3 linked regions of the Rattus norvegicus genome follow. The protein of the gene in region 3 purifies or fractionates together with the protein of the main gene of each other region. This does not show direct contact. Links are inferred from orthologs where the notes say so. Each region holds a gene or a part of one and is shown on either strand. Other genes may lie near its edges.

Region 1 (5,084 bases), on a different chromosome or scaffold from region 3:
AGATTCAGTATCAAGTACAACATGGCAGCTCATAACTGTCACCTGTATTTCCTTTCAAATACAAGGGTAATTATTATCTCAGATGGAGATACAATGAAATCCTGTTTTGCTTTTTCAAAAGTTAAAAATGGGCAAGGTGGTGGGGTCACACTCTAATCCCAGCACTCAGGAAACAGAGGCAGGCAGAGCTGAGTTCAAGGCCAGCTGGTCTATAGAATGAGTTCCAGGACAGCCAGGGCTACATCTAAAAATCCTATCTTGGGGGAAAAATACACAAAAAAATTAAAAGGTCAGAAAAGAAAGATCCAAGTCTTTTTAAAGTATATCTAATTTAATTCCTTGAGTTAGTTATATTCTATTTGATCTGTAACCATCAAATATTTCAATTTTACTAGATGTTTATTTTTCTTCCTTGTCCCACACTTCAGAAATAGCATAAGGAATTTAAGTTGTTGCTTTGTTTTTTATTTAAGAGGGCGTCAGCACATAATCCAGCCTCCTAACTAACCTGGAACTCCTTGAACTCAGAGATCCACAGCCTCAGCCTTCTGATTGCTGGAATTAAAGGCATGTGCTATCATGCCCAGCAAAAATTTTTTTTAACATTTATTTATTTATTATGTATACATCACACAGCTTTCTGTCTGCATGTATGCACCTGCAGGGCAGAAGAGGGCACCAGACCCGATTATAGATGGTTGTGAGCCACCATGTGATTGCTGGGAATTGAACTCAGAACCTCTGGAAGAGCAGACAGTGCTCTTTTTTTTTTTTTTTTTTTTTTTTTAAAGATTTATTTATTTTGTATATGAGTACACTGTAGCTGTCTTCTGACACACCAGAAGAGGGCATCGGATTCCATTACAGATGGTTGTGAGCCACCATATGGTTGCTGGGATTTGAACTCAGGACCTCTGGAAGAGCAGTTGGTGCTCTTAACCACTGAGCCATCTCTCCAGCCGCCCAACAAAATTTAAGAACTTAAAATATTGGGGATGCTATCTTAATTGAGCAATTTTCTTTTTCCTTTTTTTTTTTTAAAATAAGATTTATTTATGTGAGTACAACGTAGCTGTCTTCAGACACACCAGATGAGGGCATCGGGTCCCATTACAGATGGTTGAGAGCCACAATGTGGTTGCTGGGAATTGAACTCAGGACCTCTGGAAGAGCAGTCAGTGCTCTTAACCACTGAGCCATCTCTCCTGCCCAGCAATTTTCTTTTTAATTGCTTTTTATTATTACTTGTGTTAGAGACATATAATATACAAAGTGTATATATGAACATGCCACAGTGCTCAGGCACATGTGTGGAAATCAGGTGACAATTTTGGGAAATGGTTCTCTCCTTCTACCTTTATGTGTGCTCCAGGGATCAAACCTAGAACTAAAGATATCAGGATGGTGGCAGGCACTTTTACCCACCAAGTCATTTGTAAGGCACAACAATTTTCCTTTCTAAGAAAGAACACATGGGCTCAGTGGCCCACACTTGTATCTCAGCTACTCAGGGGCTATGGAGAATCAAGAGTTTTAGACCTGTCTGAGCAACAAAACACAACCCTCTTCCAAAAGAAATAGAAAATAAAGTCTCAGATGTAAAAGTATACATCTTACCAGGATGTCGATCATCAAACGGATCTGGATCTCCTTTACGATATTCTTCGGTTTCTTTTTCAATTAATTCAGACATCCTAGCAAGAAAGGAAAAGAGTTAACAAGTTAACTCTGAACAAGCACACACAAAAATACTAAGCATAGTAACACATACCTGTAATCCCAACACTCAGAAGACTGAGGCAGGAGGCCTGCCTTAAGTTCAAGGCCAACCTAGGCTACTTAGTAAACACTATCAGGTCAGTTAGAGCCATACAGTAAGACCATGTCAGAAAAAAAAAGCTAAATTAAAATACAAAAAAGTGTATCAGTATTAAAGGGGCATAACACAAAGTTAGAAAAGCATGATTTTTCTGATGAATAATAAAGTCTAAATCACCTCATAAAATAATTTACACTCCGTCTCCTTGCATTACAAAGCACCCTCACCTCAGAAACTTAAGCTAGTAAGTCATCATTAAAACCTTCATTTCCAGACAGGCACGGTAGTACATGCCTGCCAGTCACCACTATCTAAAACCAATTCTCAGCTCTTGTTTCCTACTTCTCTGCTTTACCTAACATAATTTGGTCTCCAGCTTCCATTCCTTAAATTAAGTCCAAGCACTATGATAGCCTGCAATTATCTAGCTTCTACCAATTTTGTAAAAGCTTCTTTTACTCTTCTATCTCTAATATTTTATTAAACTTCAAACACATGGCCCTCTCTGCTATTCAAAATATTCCAGTTCATTCCTGCTTCAGGGCCATTCCATGCCTTAATTTGTTAGCTTATAATGTTCCTCCCACCCTCTAGGCTTCTACCATGGTTCCAACAAGTAAATATTCTTTTGCTTTTATAAAAGATTAGTTTTGCCTGTTCCAGGATTTCACCTAAAGAGAATCATATAAAGTCTTACTATGCCAAGATCCTTCTAAGAAAGCATCCATGTTCCAATAACAAATTCCTTTTCACTCACGAAGTCATTCTTTTTCTTGTGTATGTACAGGTGTACATGTGTACATATGTGTGGAGGCCAGAAAACAATCTCAAGTTTCATTCCTTAGGAATGCACTCCATGTGGTTTTTCTTTGGGGCAAGGTCTCTCACTGGACTGGAACTCACCAAACAGGAGAGGCAGGCTAGCTAGCAAGCCTCAGAGATTGTTCTGTCTCTACCTTCCCAACAATGAGACTACAAGTGCACATCATCGTGCCTAAATTAAAAAAAAAAAAATTCAACCAAGAGGTGGTGGCACATGCTTTTAATCCCAGCACTCCAGAAGCAGAGACGAGCAGATCTTTGAGTTCTATCAGCCTGGTCTACAGACTGAGTTCCATGACAGTCAGGGCTACACAGAAAAACCCTGTTTCAAAAACAAAACAAAACAAAACAGCAAAGAGAAAAAATAAATCAAAGTCTATCAAAATATTCTTATATTTTCTTCTAAAACCTTTTTTAAGGTGTCTCTATGTATGTGTGTGTGTGTGTGTGTGTGTGTGTGTGTGTGTGTGTGTGTGTACGTATGTACACACACATGCATTAGGGTACCCACAGAGGTAAGAAGAGGGTATGAGAGCTGGAGTTACAGGCAGTTAAAAGCAGCCCAACATAGATGCTAGGAAACAAACTACATGAATAATAAGTGTTCTTAACTGCTCAGCCATTATGTTAACTCCATTTTTTAAAACAGTTTTGTGTATATGAAAGGACAGGTAAGTTTTCTGTGAATAAAAACAAATAATTCTTACCTGGTAAGGATAGGTACCATATCCTGCCCACTGCCATGGTCCTTTTCCCACTGCTCCAGCAGGGTAGTGAGCTCAGCTTTGGAGTCCACATGTACCACTACTGTAGTCATGACTTGGCCTAAAGAAGTCAAAACAATAAGAAATGAACAAAACAAACGTAAGTGACATAGTTCCCACAAAAAGTGTGAAGGTGAGCAGGTAATGGATAAGCTGGTCTGGGGAGATTGGGCACTTGTTAAAGAGTCTGAGGCTAGCCTGATCTACATAATCAGTTTTACTCCAGCTAGGGCCACACATAGAAATGATGTCAGAATGTGGGAAAAAAAAAAAAAATACCTGTCAGGTGGCCATGGTGCACACCTTTAATCCCAGCACTCAGAGGCAAGAGAATCTAAGTTCAAAACCAGCCTGGTCTATAGACTTTCAGGACAGCCAGGGCTACACAGAAAAACCCTGTCTAAATAACAAAAGGCTTGAAACTAAAAAGGTGAGCCTACAATGCATTGTGAATTTACTAAATGCCAGTGGGTTGAAAACTTATAATCTCAGGAAACGGGGAGACAGGCTTTTCACTAGTTCACTTGTAGCCCCAGCTAACCTGGGTCTCACTATGAAGCCACCGTCTAGGTTTACTTTTTTTTTGAGATAGGGTATGTATCCCAGGATATTTTTGAACTCACTCTATACCCAAGAATGACCTTGTTTTTCTTATCCTCCTATCTCTATCTCCCAAGTGTTAGGATTAGGGATACGTAACCATCACAGCAAGTTATGCAGTGCTGAGGCTTGAACCCAGAGCTTCACGAGTACTAGACAGCTGCTCTACCATGTAGTAAACCTGCCCTTTTCACTTTCTCCATATTTTTAAAGTATTATTTATTTTATGTATATAAATATACTTCAGACACACCAGAAGAGGATATTATGGATGGTTATGAGCCACTATGTGGTTGCTGGGAACTCACGACCTCTGGAAAAGCATTCAGTGCTCTTAATCACTGTCATCTCTCCAGCCATTTTTTCCATATTTTTAATGGAGGTTTTTATTTTTAAAAAAAAGGGGGGGTTGGGGATTTAGCTCAGTGGTAGAGCACTTGCCTAGCAAGCGCAAGGCCCTGGGTTCGGTCCCCAGCTCCGAAAAAAAGAAAAAAAAAAAAAAAAAAAAAGGCCAGATGTGCTATCACAATGCCTTTAATCCTAGCATAAGGGATGCAAAAGCAGGAGCATCTGTGTAAGTTCCAGGACAACCAGAAAGGACTCTATTAGAGAAAGATCCTGTCTCAAAAAGAACAAGCCAGGTATGGGGGATGCATGCCTTTAGTTCTGGCACTTAGGAGACAGAGGCAGGTGGATCTCTGAGTCTAAGGCCAATGTAGTCTACAAAGAAGAGTTCAAGGATAGCCAGGGATACAGGGCTATGCAGAGAAAATTTCTTGATTTTAAAAAAAAAAAGAGGAAACTATGAAAGAATGCCCTTAAGCCTTCTCAAATACACACACAGTTAGTTTGTGCTGCTTTCACTTACTTCCTTTCACTTGGCACTTGACAATGACAGGGACTGAACCCAGGACCTTGCTCATGTTAAGACCTAATGCTTGATTTGTTTTGATCTTTGATTCTAGGAATTCTAGAGTCAAACATGGTAAGCAATCACTCAAATACTGAGTTACATCCCCAGTGTTTGTTTAGGGTTGTTGATATTTCAGTTTGTTGGGTTTTGTTTTGTTTTGTTTCCT
Region 2 (5,084 bases), on a different chromosome or scaffold from region 3:
TGGACTTTTTGATCACTTATAATATGAGCCCTAAATAACTCTAATCCCATGTCCCTAAAATTAAAAACAAAAAAATCATCAGAACTGGTAATACCATATGAACAGGCTGAGTTATGCTTATCATAATGCTTACTGGGGTCTCAGAATTTAAAGCAGTAATTATAAAGAGGATAAAATCCACATTTAATTTTGAATAACATTTTTAGATTAAAGCATATAGGAAACCCATTTTGTCTTAAATGAGAACTGAAGCTGAATTCCTGGCTTCCTCCATAACTAGGTTTTAGTGTCCTATTTCCTCTGATGATAATCTTAGTGAAGTCAGAAATAAAATTAGTTCAAAGACAAAAATACTTTCCACTATACTGGTATTGACTAGCTTATTTGGTCATTCATAAATGGCTTCAAAATCGTAAAATCAGTACATTTCAATCATTACTGTAGGTATATGCTAAGCATCTGCTGAAGGATCAAGACATTATGCTATCTTATTTTCATAAACAACACTTTTTAGTATAAAGTCACAAGAAAAATAAAAGAGCAAAACATTAATGATCAGCAGCAATAATATTCAGGCACAGAAATTCTAGATTAAACTTTAATCTTCACACCTAACATTAAGAAATACTATGAGAGAAAGTTAGCTGTCTGCTGTATTAGCATAGACAAAACAAAAACCCTCAAAATGCTAGAATCCAAACGTGAATTTTTAGGAGAATATTCTGAGTACAGCTTGTTCTCTTAGAATAATTAAGACTATGATATATAACAAAATTTTTCATAATAATCTTCTGGCATCCTTACCAAATAGAGGGCAGCATTGAATTCTGAAGAACATAAGTTCTATCCAGAAACAAAAAAATGCTCCTGATCATTATCTGTCAAATAAAAAGAAAAAAAAAATCAAGCAATTTTTGTAAATTTGAAACTACAATATTAGCTCTTAATGAGAATTTGGAAAATTTTATATTAAATAGGCTAATAGGATCCAACTTGCAAACAAATATATCTAGCTGAGAATATGTCCCATATATTTATTTTTAAACTAATCTATTAATCCTTCTTGTGGTTTCTAGAGAACACAGAATTAAGATGGTCCTCTGAGATCTTTGCTACTTAAATAACTAAAAAGAAAAACTGGAGGTAGGCATGGGACATATGCCTATAATCCCAGCAACTCAAGAGCCTAAGACAGAAAGATCTTGAAATTTCGGGCCAGTCTGTACTACACAATGAGATCTTGTCTCAGAAAAAAAAAAGAGGGAATCTAAGGTACACTTAGTCTTTCTTAGCAGCAGTGCTAGGGGGTAAAACTCTCTTAAACTTGTACCCATGGTGTTTAGGAGGTGGGAAGTGGGTTTCAAGATTTCTATTTGCATTAATATAAAGAATAAACACCAGACTTTCCCACCAGCTGTATCCCAATACGTCCAACAAGATATCCAAACATTCTAGCACCTAAATGTTTTTGCAATGAAATAATCAGTCTTGTTTCCAACTCACCATTTGCCTACAATGATTTTGCCAGCATCTATCAATCTTTTTTAGAAAAAGAACACTATCCAATGAATCCATGAGACAGATGTTAAGAATATTTTAAAATGTATCATATAAGTAATATGTGTAATATAAAACGTATTTGTCTTAAAATATAGACTACCCCATAAACTGATAATACAAATTATAAAACACAATTCTAATTTTTAAACTGCAGAAACAAATTTGATCCCCCTTAACGTATCTTTAAAACCAGTCTTAAACCTAACTGAGCATGTTTTTTATTTATGATTTCCCTCAAATAGAAATTTGTCAGGACAGAGGCTAATGACAGGAAATTTTTACTTAAAAACTGTAAGTATAGATCTTAACTATAATTGACACTGAAATGTTTTAAAACTTTGTTCTTTCCTTCAGAGATAAGAGGACAAAAATAAATCTTTCAGCACAGGCATTCCATTTCAAACTGAGCCAAGCAGTGAGAGGTAATGAGTAATGAAAAAACTTAAGATACTTTGTTTTGAGGGGCTCAAGAGATGGCTCAGCAGTTAAGAGTACTGGCTGTTCTTCCAGAGGTCCTTACATTTCTAACAACCACATGGCTGCTTCCATGTACAATAGAGTCTACTACCCTCTTCTCTCTGATGCCCTCTTCTGTCATACAGGCATACATGTTAAGTAGAACATACATAAAATACATACATAAATAAATGTGACATTTTGTTTTAAAAAGGATATTCTCTGAACTGATGAATCTGTGCTTTGATGTGATCTTCACAGATCTGCCTCAGCTGCTTATACAAATTGGCAGAAATCTTGTAAGAACAAAGATTTTCTACAGCCTGTAAGATAAAACAGGTAATTTTGTAGGACAGGAGAGAGTTGGGGTAGGGGTCTCAATTATCACATGAAGTCATGATTTTTTATACATTGTATCAGCTCATTGAAAATAAAGTATTTGTCAATTTTAAAAAGCAAAAGAATGGAATCAACCCAGAATGCCGAAGCGGGAGTATTAGGAGTTTTGTGCTAGCCTAGAAAACTTTACTTACACAGACACACTCAGGATTAAACAAGAAAATTGACCAATGTGGGTGAAAACCAAGATAAGTCCACATTTGTATGTTTATGAGGGCTATACTAAAAGTAAAGGCTGAAGAGAATCATGCAAAGTTTTGTACTACATACAAAAGCATTCTTGTTACAAATAATTTTCATAAGCAGAATGCATTAAATTTAAAAATAATTTTGCCTGTTTTGTATGTATGAGATGGGCCAGAAATGACTACTATAACTCAAGTAAAACTAATAGTTCCTTGGATATTCCTGAATACAATAAAGTGGAAATTATTGCTAGCAGTGTTTAAACCAGTGTGATATAATTAAACACTATGACATTTTCTCCAATTTTCAGTTTATAAATAATTGAAAATAGGGACTGCAAATTGGGCTTAGTGGTAGAATATTTGCCTAACCAGCTTGAATCCCCAGAATTCATACTCTTAACAACAGAATGAATATATTTTTACTTCATTAGAATACTTGAATTTATCCTCAAATCTTAACAAGTTCAGATTTTGTGTTTATTATGTGTATCAAAAGTCTTTCAAAGGGCTGGAGAGATGGCTCAGTGGTTAAGAGCACTCAGTGCTCTTCCAGAGGTCCTGAGTTCAATCCCCAGCCACCATATGGTGACTCAAAACCATCTGGAATGAGATCAGATGCCCTCTTCTGGTGTATCTGAAGACAGCTACAGTGTACTCATATATAATAAATAAATAAACCTTTTAACAAAAAAGTCAAGTTTAAAACAACAGGTGTGGTCACTCTAATGTTAACCACAATTGGTAATGGCTTAAGTGTAACACCAAGATTCCTCTCATGCCACAATGGAAGACAAAAACCCCATTCCATTAAAAAGGACTGGGGAAGTCCAAACTCTGTTGGTCTGAGTGGAATTTTGTAAACAGTGTAGCTAGAAGTCACATTGCTAGAATGCAAGTTCAGTGATCCCATTTTTTTTTAAAAATAAAGCTTAAAAAGGAACTTCCTTATTCCACTGGAGGAAAACCATCAATCCTCAACAGGAGAGAATAGACCCATCAGCTTTAACAGCTATGAACAAATAGGAAAAAGACAGATTCAGTTACAATCCATGTAACCTGGGGTTAGGAAACAAATATCTAAGAGTGAACTTGTTTATTTCATGTGCTCCTCTATTCATACTGATCCTAGATGGGGTGTCCTCCTCCCTTTATGGCACTTTTTACTGTATCTTGTTTTTTGAATGGCTGACTCATTTTCTCAAGCATTTCTCATTTCCTACTTACGTTGTCAATGACATAATACACACTTCATTTTTTACTTTCCCTATTTTTTATTCTTCAATACATTCTATTTATCCTACTTCCTTCTGAGTTCTCCTTTATCTCATAAAACAGTTCTTGACACATCTATTATCTTTTCCCACAAGATACACATTTTCTATTTCTATTAAACTGGGTACCACTTCTTCCAAATAAGGTAACTCCTTTCACTGTCACAGATTTGCCTAATGCTCCCACCACCCACCACACCTCAGTAAATCAATACTCTTGCTTTTTATATGTATATCCTGTCTCCTTGATTTTGCTTAATGGCAGTGATCACACAGTCCTAAGCTATTTTTTAACACTTTGACTTTTACAGTATATGTATGTCAATAATGAATTATACCCTGCATACTAGAATGAAAACCATGATCAGAATACTATAGTGTAAGCTAAGTATGTTTATAGTCAAAGATAAAGCTCCCTATTACAGCCTTTAGGAGAAGGAAGTTAGGAAAAGTATCCAAGTCTACCAAAGACCCAGAGAGAAATATATAGAATACTAATGAGAATAATAAAAAACCAAAAACAAAGCTGAGCTTTACATTCAAAGTGACTAATGATTCATTCAACGAAAAGGAAATATGCAACAGAATAAGTTGGGTAAGTCAGGTGTGGTGGTCATGCCTGTAGTCCTACATTGAAATAAGAATTAAATAAAGTTCTATGTCAGCCTGAGTATCTAAAAAAAAATCAAATTTCAAAAATCAAAACAGGGCTGGAGAGATGTACTTCTTGTTCTTGCAGAGGACCCAGGTTCCATTTGAAGCACTCAGAAGACAGTTAACTACTATCTGTAATTGCAGTTCCAAGGGAATCTAATGCCTGCTTCTGGAGTCTAAGAACGTTGTACACATGTAGTATACAGATAAACATGCAGACAAATACCCAAATAAATTATTTTATAAATATAATTATACATTATATAAATATAAATTTAATATAATTTATATAAATTATAATTAAAACAAAGCTTAAAACAACAAAAACACAAACAGGTGACAACAGTTAAATTTTGAGACACTAATAGCTGGGTATCAAAACTGCTAAGAATTTTAACTGTTCTGATATAACCAGACTGCTTAAGTAATTGCATTTTACAATTGATCATCTATGTACTGAGAGAGATGCACAGCCTCACTCTAAAAGATTTCAAGGTTCTTAAGAAGGGAAAATTTAAAACTGAGGAATAATTGTCATTTAAAGTACTGTTTTAAA
Region 3 (4,940 bases):
AAGGAATTTTTTTTTTTTTTTCCGGAGCTGGGGACCGAATCCAGGGCCTTGGGCTTCCTAGGTAAGTGCTCTACCACTGAGCTAAATCCCCAGCCCCAAAAGGAATATTTTTAATAGTCTGTTTCTAAGCTAAGGAAAATATAACTGAAATTGTATCAGTTTACGCCTTTGGTCATCTGACCTTTATTGAACTCCAACCGTGTGTGGCTCCCATGGAGTGACAGTTGCAGTTTCCATTCAGACTCGGGGAGCTAATGCAGGCGAGTGGTGTCGTCCCACTGCCCGAGACCCGCAGCCCTTGTTCCTGCTTCCGGTCTGGGGCAGAGACTGCCCACTGCTGCTCACACCCAGGGCTGTGTGGTACTCACCGGGGCATCCATCACTCCTGCCTCCGCAGCTCCTGCCTCCGTGCAGCTCCTGTCTCTGTGCAGCTCCTGTCTCTGGTGACGAGAGCCACCGTGTTCTCTTCCACACTCTACCTCCAGTCGGCGCAGTCCTCTCTCCTCTCCTGCTGAGTTGCTCAGTTCTGTTCTCGCTGATTCCCTAGAACAAGTTCAGGGCCTCCTTTGTCATTGACTGTTGGGCTGTGCGTGTGCACACATGTGTATCCCTCTATCCCCCCCCTCGGCCTGTGTGAGGTTTCCTGTCATTGTGTTCGGGGCTCACCTTTGGTGCTGGATACACAGTTGCCGTGAAGATGGCCCCCTCTCAGCTTCCCTCAGTCTGCGGTGGGACACACAGCACCCTGTGGCCTTCCATTCCTGCTGCACAGAGACCCTCCTCACCTTCCGCTTCCGCTCAGGCTGTCTGTGTGCTGGAGGAGCTGCAGGTTACAGTCCTCCTCACACCGGCTGCTGCTTCATTTCTCTCCCATTCTCTTTCCGACATGGCGGATTGCCTTCAGATTGCAGGGAGTTTTGTTTTCTAGAGAGAAAACCATTTCTCATTTCAAAGATTTTTTTAAACTGTCTTGATCGGATTTATGAAGCCCTAAATGTGAGGTGTGAGGTGTAGGGCAGCGTCTGTGGTCTGTCTGCCCTTTCGCCTGTCCCTAGGGTCCCGTCCCTAGTCCTGCTCTTCACCCGCCAAAAGGACCTGTGCTAAAGCCCCGAGTCAGCACTTTGTTTAACTTTTAAAATCCTGCTGACTTCTTTCCATTAGACCACATAGATGTCTTTATCTTTCAGGCCTTTTATTTTCTTCTTAAGTAGACTTCCTGCCGCCCAGTGCCCAGGCTGGCCCCTGGTTTGTGGCGCTCCTCCCATCTCTGCCCCCTGAGTGCAGAGATCACAGGGGTGTGCTGGCAAGCCTGCTTCAGGTTTCATCTCTCTTTTCTTTTTTTTCTTAAGATTTATTTATTTTATATATATGAGTACACTGGCGCTGTCCCCACACACCAGAAGAGGGCCTCAGATCCCATTACAGATGGTTGTGAGCCACCATGTGGTTGCTGGGAATTGAACTCAGGTCCTCTGGAAGAGGAGTCAGTGCTCTTAACCACTGAGCCATCTCTCTAGCTCCTTCTCTTGGTTTTAATAAAGGGAATATTGCTGATCACTTATCCTTGTGCACACAGCACCACATCGTGGCCATCGTGATGCTGTCAGCTGAGCTCCCTGGCCTGCTCCTGCCTTCTTTCTTGCTTGCCCAGCTGTCTTTCACGTCATCTGTATGGAGTCTGTGAGGCCCTTAGATTTAACAGGACTTACTCACGGCTGAGTCCCTGGCCTTTCCTGCTGTGGGCATTGAGTCTCCATGGGCGATCTGTATCCTTGATTCAGTTAGCACTCTGTGGAAATGGCCGGATTTCTTGTACCAATCTCTCGCTCTCAATCTCTAGCTCTTGTTCACGCTAAGGTGTCTATACCAGATTGCTTAATAAGGCTTTAGGACAGACACAGGTCCAAAATCTGCTAGTTAACCATTTAAAAGCTACATCTCACTTTTTAAAAAAATTTCTTAACTTTTTCATCTTCCATGTCCTATAAATTACAACTCCTGATACTCTTAGGGATCCATGTGCTTTCCTTATTTTTAAAAATTCAAGTGTTTATATGTGTATGACTGTGGAAGCTGTGTGGGGTCAGAGAACAGTTTCCAGTGGTCGGTCAGTCCTCCTTGTACCGTGAGTCCTACTGTGGGTGGAATTCAGATGCTCACATGGCCCATGCTTATCCTCTGGCCGGCTTGCTGCCCCTGTTCTTCTTGTGTTCCCTGTGACTTACTTAGAATGCTGCCGTCACAGCCTGTGATGTTTTCTCTCATGTACACTTGCTTTCTAATCTAGTTTCTCCATTCTAGCCAGGGTCATTGTGGTCTTTAAAAAATGAAAACAGGGCAGAGGGAGGAAAAACAAGTTAAATTAAAGGGAGGAAACTGAATGGCTCAGGAGTCCTGCAGTGGAGTTAGAACCATCCGTCACTCCAGTTCTAGGTCACCCCCTTTTCTGGCCTCTGTGAACACCAGGCAAGGTCATGGTACGTACCATACATACATACTTAAACACACACAAAACAGTCACACACATGAAATAAAACGCTCTTTTTTTTTGAGTCTTTAAAATACATGCAGCTGGGCAGGCGCACACCTTTAATCCCAGCCCTCGGGAGGCATGGGCAGCAGAGTTTGAGGCTACCTGGTCTACACAGCAAGTCACAGGTGGCCAGGGCTATACAGAGAAAGCTTGCCTCAAAAAAAAAGTAGAGTCAAGACAGTGTTCACAGAGATCTCACGTTTTCTTCTTCTGTTGTAAATGTTAATTATTTGGTGAGGTAGACACGTTCTCTTGTGGAAATCCAGTGCTGTCCCAGTAGATGGCAGTGTCGCCCCAGCAAACACTGAGGACCGGGCCCTTGAGTGAGGCTGCTTTGCGGTCATCTGGTCTTCCTAGGTCTTCAGGGCTGACTCTGTTTCCAGGGGCATTGATAACAGCAACGCTTTTGTCACACTCAGTCTTCATGTTTGCTGTTAGCTCTCCTAGATGGCCGGGAACTCACCACAGACTCAGAGATCCTGCCCACTCCTTCTTTTTAGTGCAGAGATGAAAAATGTGTGCCGCCATGCTCGTCCTGGTCTGGTTCTTTTTTTTTTTTTGGTTCTTTTTTTCAGAGCTGGGGACCGAACCCAGGGCCTTGCGCTTCCTAGGTAAGCGCTCTATCACTGAGCTAAATCCCCAGCCCCCCTGGTCTGGTTCTTAATGATGGCTTAGTTTACATTTTTAGCCAAGAGTTCCAGAATAAATGTCTTAAATTAATACTGTTGTAATTTATCTTTTAGCTTTGATTTGTAAGTAATTTCTGTTTTTCCTATTATTTTATTCTCTCCTTAGCACGAGAAGCCCTGCCGACGTGGGACAAGCAGATCCAATCACTTTGTTTCCAAGTAAATAACCTCCTGGAGAAGATTAGTCAGACAGCCCCCGAGTGGACAGCGCAAGCCATGGAGGCGCAGATGGCCCAGTGAGTCCTGGAGCTCCGTGCACACTGCGTCTTTGCACTTTGTGCGGATCGATTCACTGCCCTCACAGCATTTGCATCGTGACCATAGACATCTCAGTCCTTTTTTGCCAGCTCCCACGTGAGGACGACGCAGGAGCAAGCAGTGCAGCCTTGAAGCAGTAGCTCCCGTGCCGCCTGGGTCTATGTTGAGCTGACTCGGGTGTCTTGAAAGCTTGTTCTTTAAGTGAGCAAGCGAGCGAGCTGGGTAGTCGTGTAAAACTTCAGTGCTTTGTGCCTCTCCAGATGTGGTTACTCTAATAAACGGAGCGATGAACCAGACGAAGGTCCTGCTTCCTCTAGTGTCTTTGTTCCTTTCCTTTGAATTTAGAAAAGCTAATTTCTGTATCTCATGCTGCAAATACAAGAGTAAGTCCCAGTGCCTGCCTCCAAGCTCTCTGAGGCACAAAGGTAAAGGTGTAAGGTGAACGCCTGAGTTACACACCAGGAGGAGCCCATCAGTCATCAGGGAGCCAACAAGGAAGACTTCAGGATGGTAATTTCAAATGTGATTAGTAGAGAATATGCAGAAAGGACTTTGAGAAGGGTATAAACGACTTTAGCCCCAACAGTTAAAGAGCTTGACCACCCACTTAAAACATTAGGCAGCTTGAAAGTCAGCCCGGACCAGGGGGAAGGATGCGGGGTTGTAGTTCATCAGCTAGGGAGAGGTGATGCTTCTGGAACCGGTACCTGCTTAGCAACTCCAACAGAACTGGCCCTCCTGCAGACCAGGAAGGTTGGGCGCATCCTAGTCTATCAATGTTTCCTTAATTCAGCATTTTGTCTGCCACTCAACTTATACTTGGAAACATGGGTGCTTCCTTCTACAAACTAACTTTGTTTGGGATTAAAGGTGTGTGTACTAATAGGGTGTCTGTGTTCCAGTCAGAGGGATGATGAAAGGTGCTAAGGGCTGAGCCACACCACTAGAAACAGGTTTTTTCAGTAAACAACACAGTCTCAGGGGTCACACTGATCAGATATCCTGCAACAAAGCACACCCTTCTTTTGGAAATACACGTAGCTCATTTTGAAATAATACCCACATTATTTTCCATAAGACAGTCTTGACTTTCAAGGGAAATTACTGTGCCTGGCCTTTGTTGATTTAGAGAACGGGTGTACAATTCTAGCCTTCTTTAAATCAGTTCTCTGTAAGCCTAGGAGCAGCAGACACTTCTGAAGTTCCAAGCCCAGGGATTCAGGCTGAATAAGCAGGCACCCGGGGCCGGCAAGATGGCTCAGCTGGTAAAAGCTGTTGCCCTGCAAGCCTGCTGGCCTGAGTTCACCCCTAAAACCCACAGGAAAGATGATGGTGTGAGTTTGTAGCCCACACACCACTGCGATGAGATGCGTGGGAAGACAAGGGGAACTGGGCTGAATCTCAAACCGGCTAGCCTAGAGTGTGCAGTGCGGCAAACCCAAGGGAGACCCTGCTGCAAA

Evidence for each region. Proteins that work in one complex are often made in the same cells at the same time.
Region 1: the proteins of Cops4 (region 3) and Dcaf1 purify together in Homo sapiens (affinity purification with mass spectrometry; 4 studies listed by BioGRID, with this or other methods). This does not show direct contact. The link is inferred for Rattus norvegicus from reciprocal best matches to the Homo sapiens genes COPS4 and DCAF1.
Region 2: the proteins of Cops4 (region 3) and Cul4b purify together in Homo sapiens (affinity purification with mass spectrometry; 9 studies listed by BioGRID and IntAct, with this or other methods). This does not show direct contact. The link is inferred for Rattus norvegicus from reciprocal best matches to the Homo sapiens genes COPS4 and CUL4B.

Annotation. Positions count from the first base shown.
Region 1 is NC_086026.1:116,358,934-116,364,017, reverse strand, and holds part of Dcaf1 (DDB1- and CUL4-associated factor 1), read right to left. Parts: intron 3,467-5,084; coding exon of another isoform or gene 3,459-3,466; coding exon 3,349-3,458; intron 1,695-3,348; coding exon 1,618-1,694; intron 1-1,617. UniProt on the Homo sapiens protein: Acts both as a substrate recognition component of E3 ubiquitin-protein ligase complexes and as an atypical serine/threonine-protein kinase, playing key roles in various processes such as cell cycle, telomerase regulation and histone modification.
Region 2 is NC_086039.1:122,170,815-122,175,898, forward strand, and holds part of Cul4b (cullin-4B), read right to left. Parts: intron 2,340-5,084; coding exon 2,236-2,339; intron 1,574-2,235; coding exon 1,504-1,573; intron 879-1,503; coding exon 805-878; intron 55-804; coding exon 1-54.
Region 3 is NC_086032.1:9,381,733-9,386,672, reverse strand, and holds the end of Cops4 (COP9 signalosome complex subunit 4), read left to right. Parts: intron 1-3,328; coding exon 3,329-3,462; 3' UTR 3,463-3,776; downstream 3,777-4,940. UniProt on the Homo sapiens protein: Component of the COP9 signalosome complex (CSN), a complex involved in various cellular and developmental processes.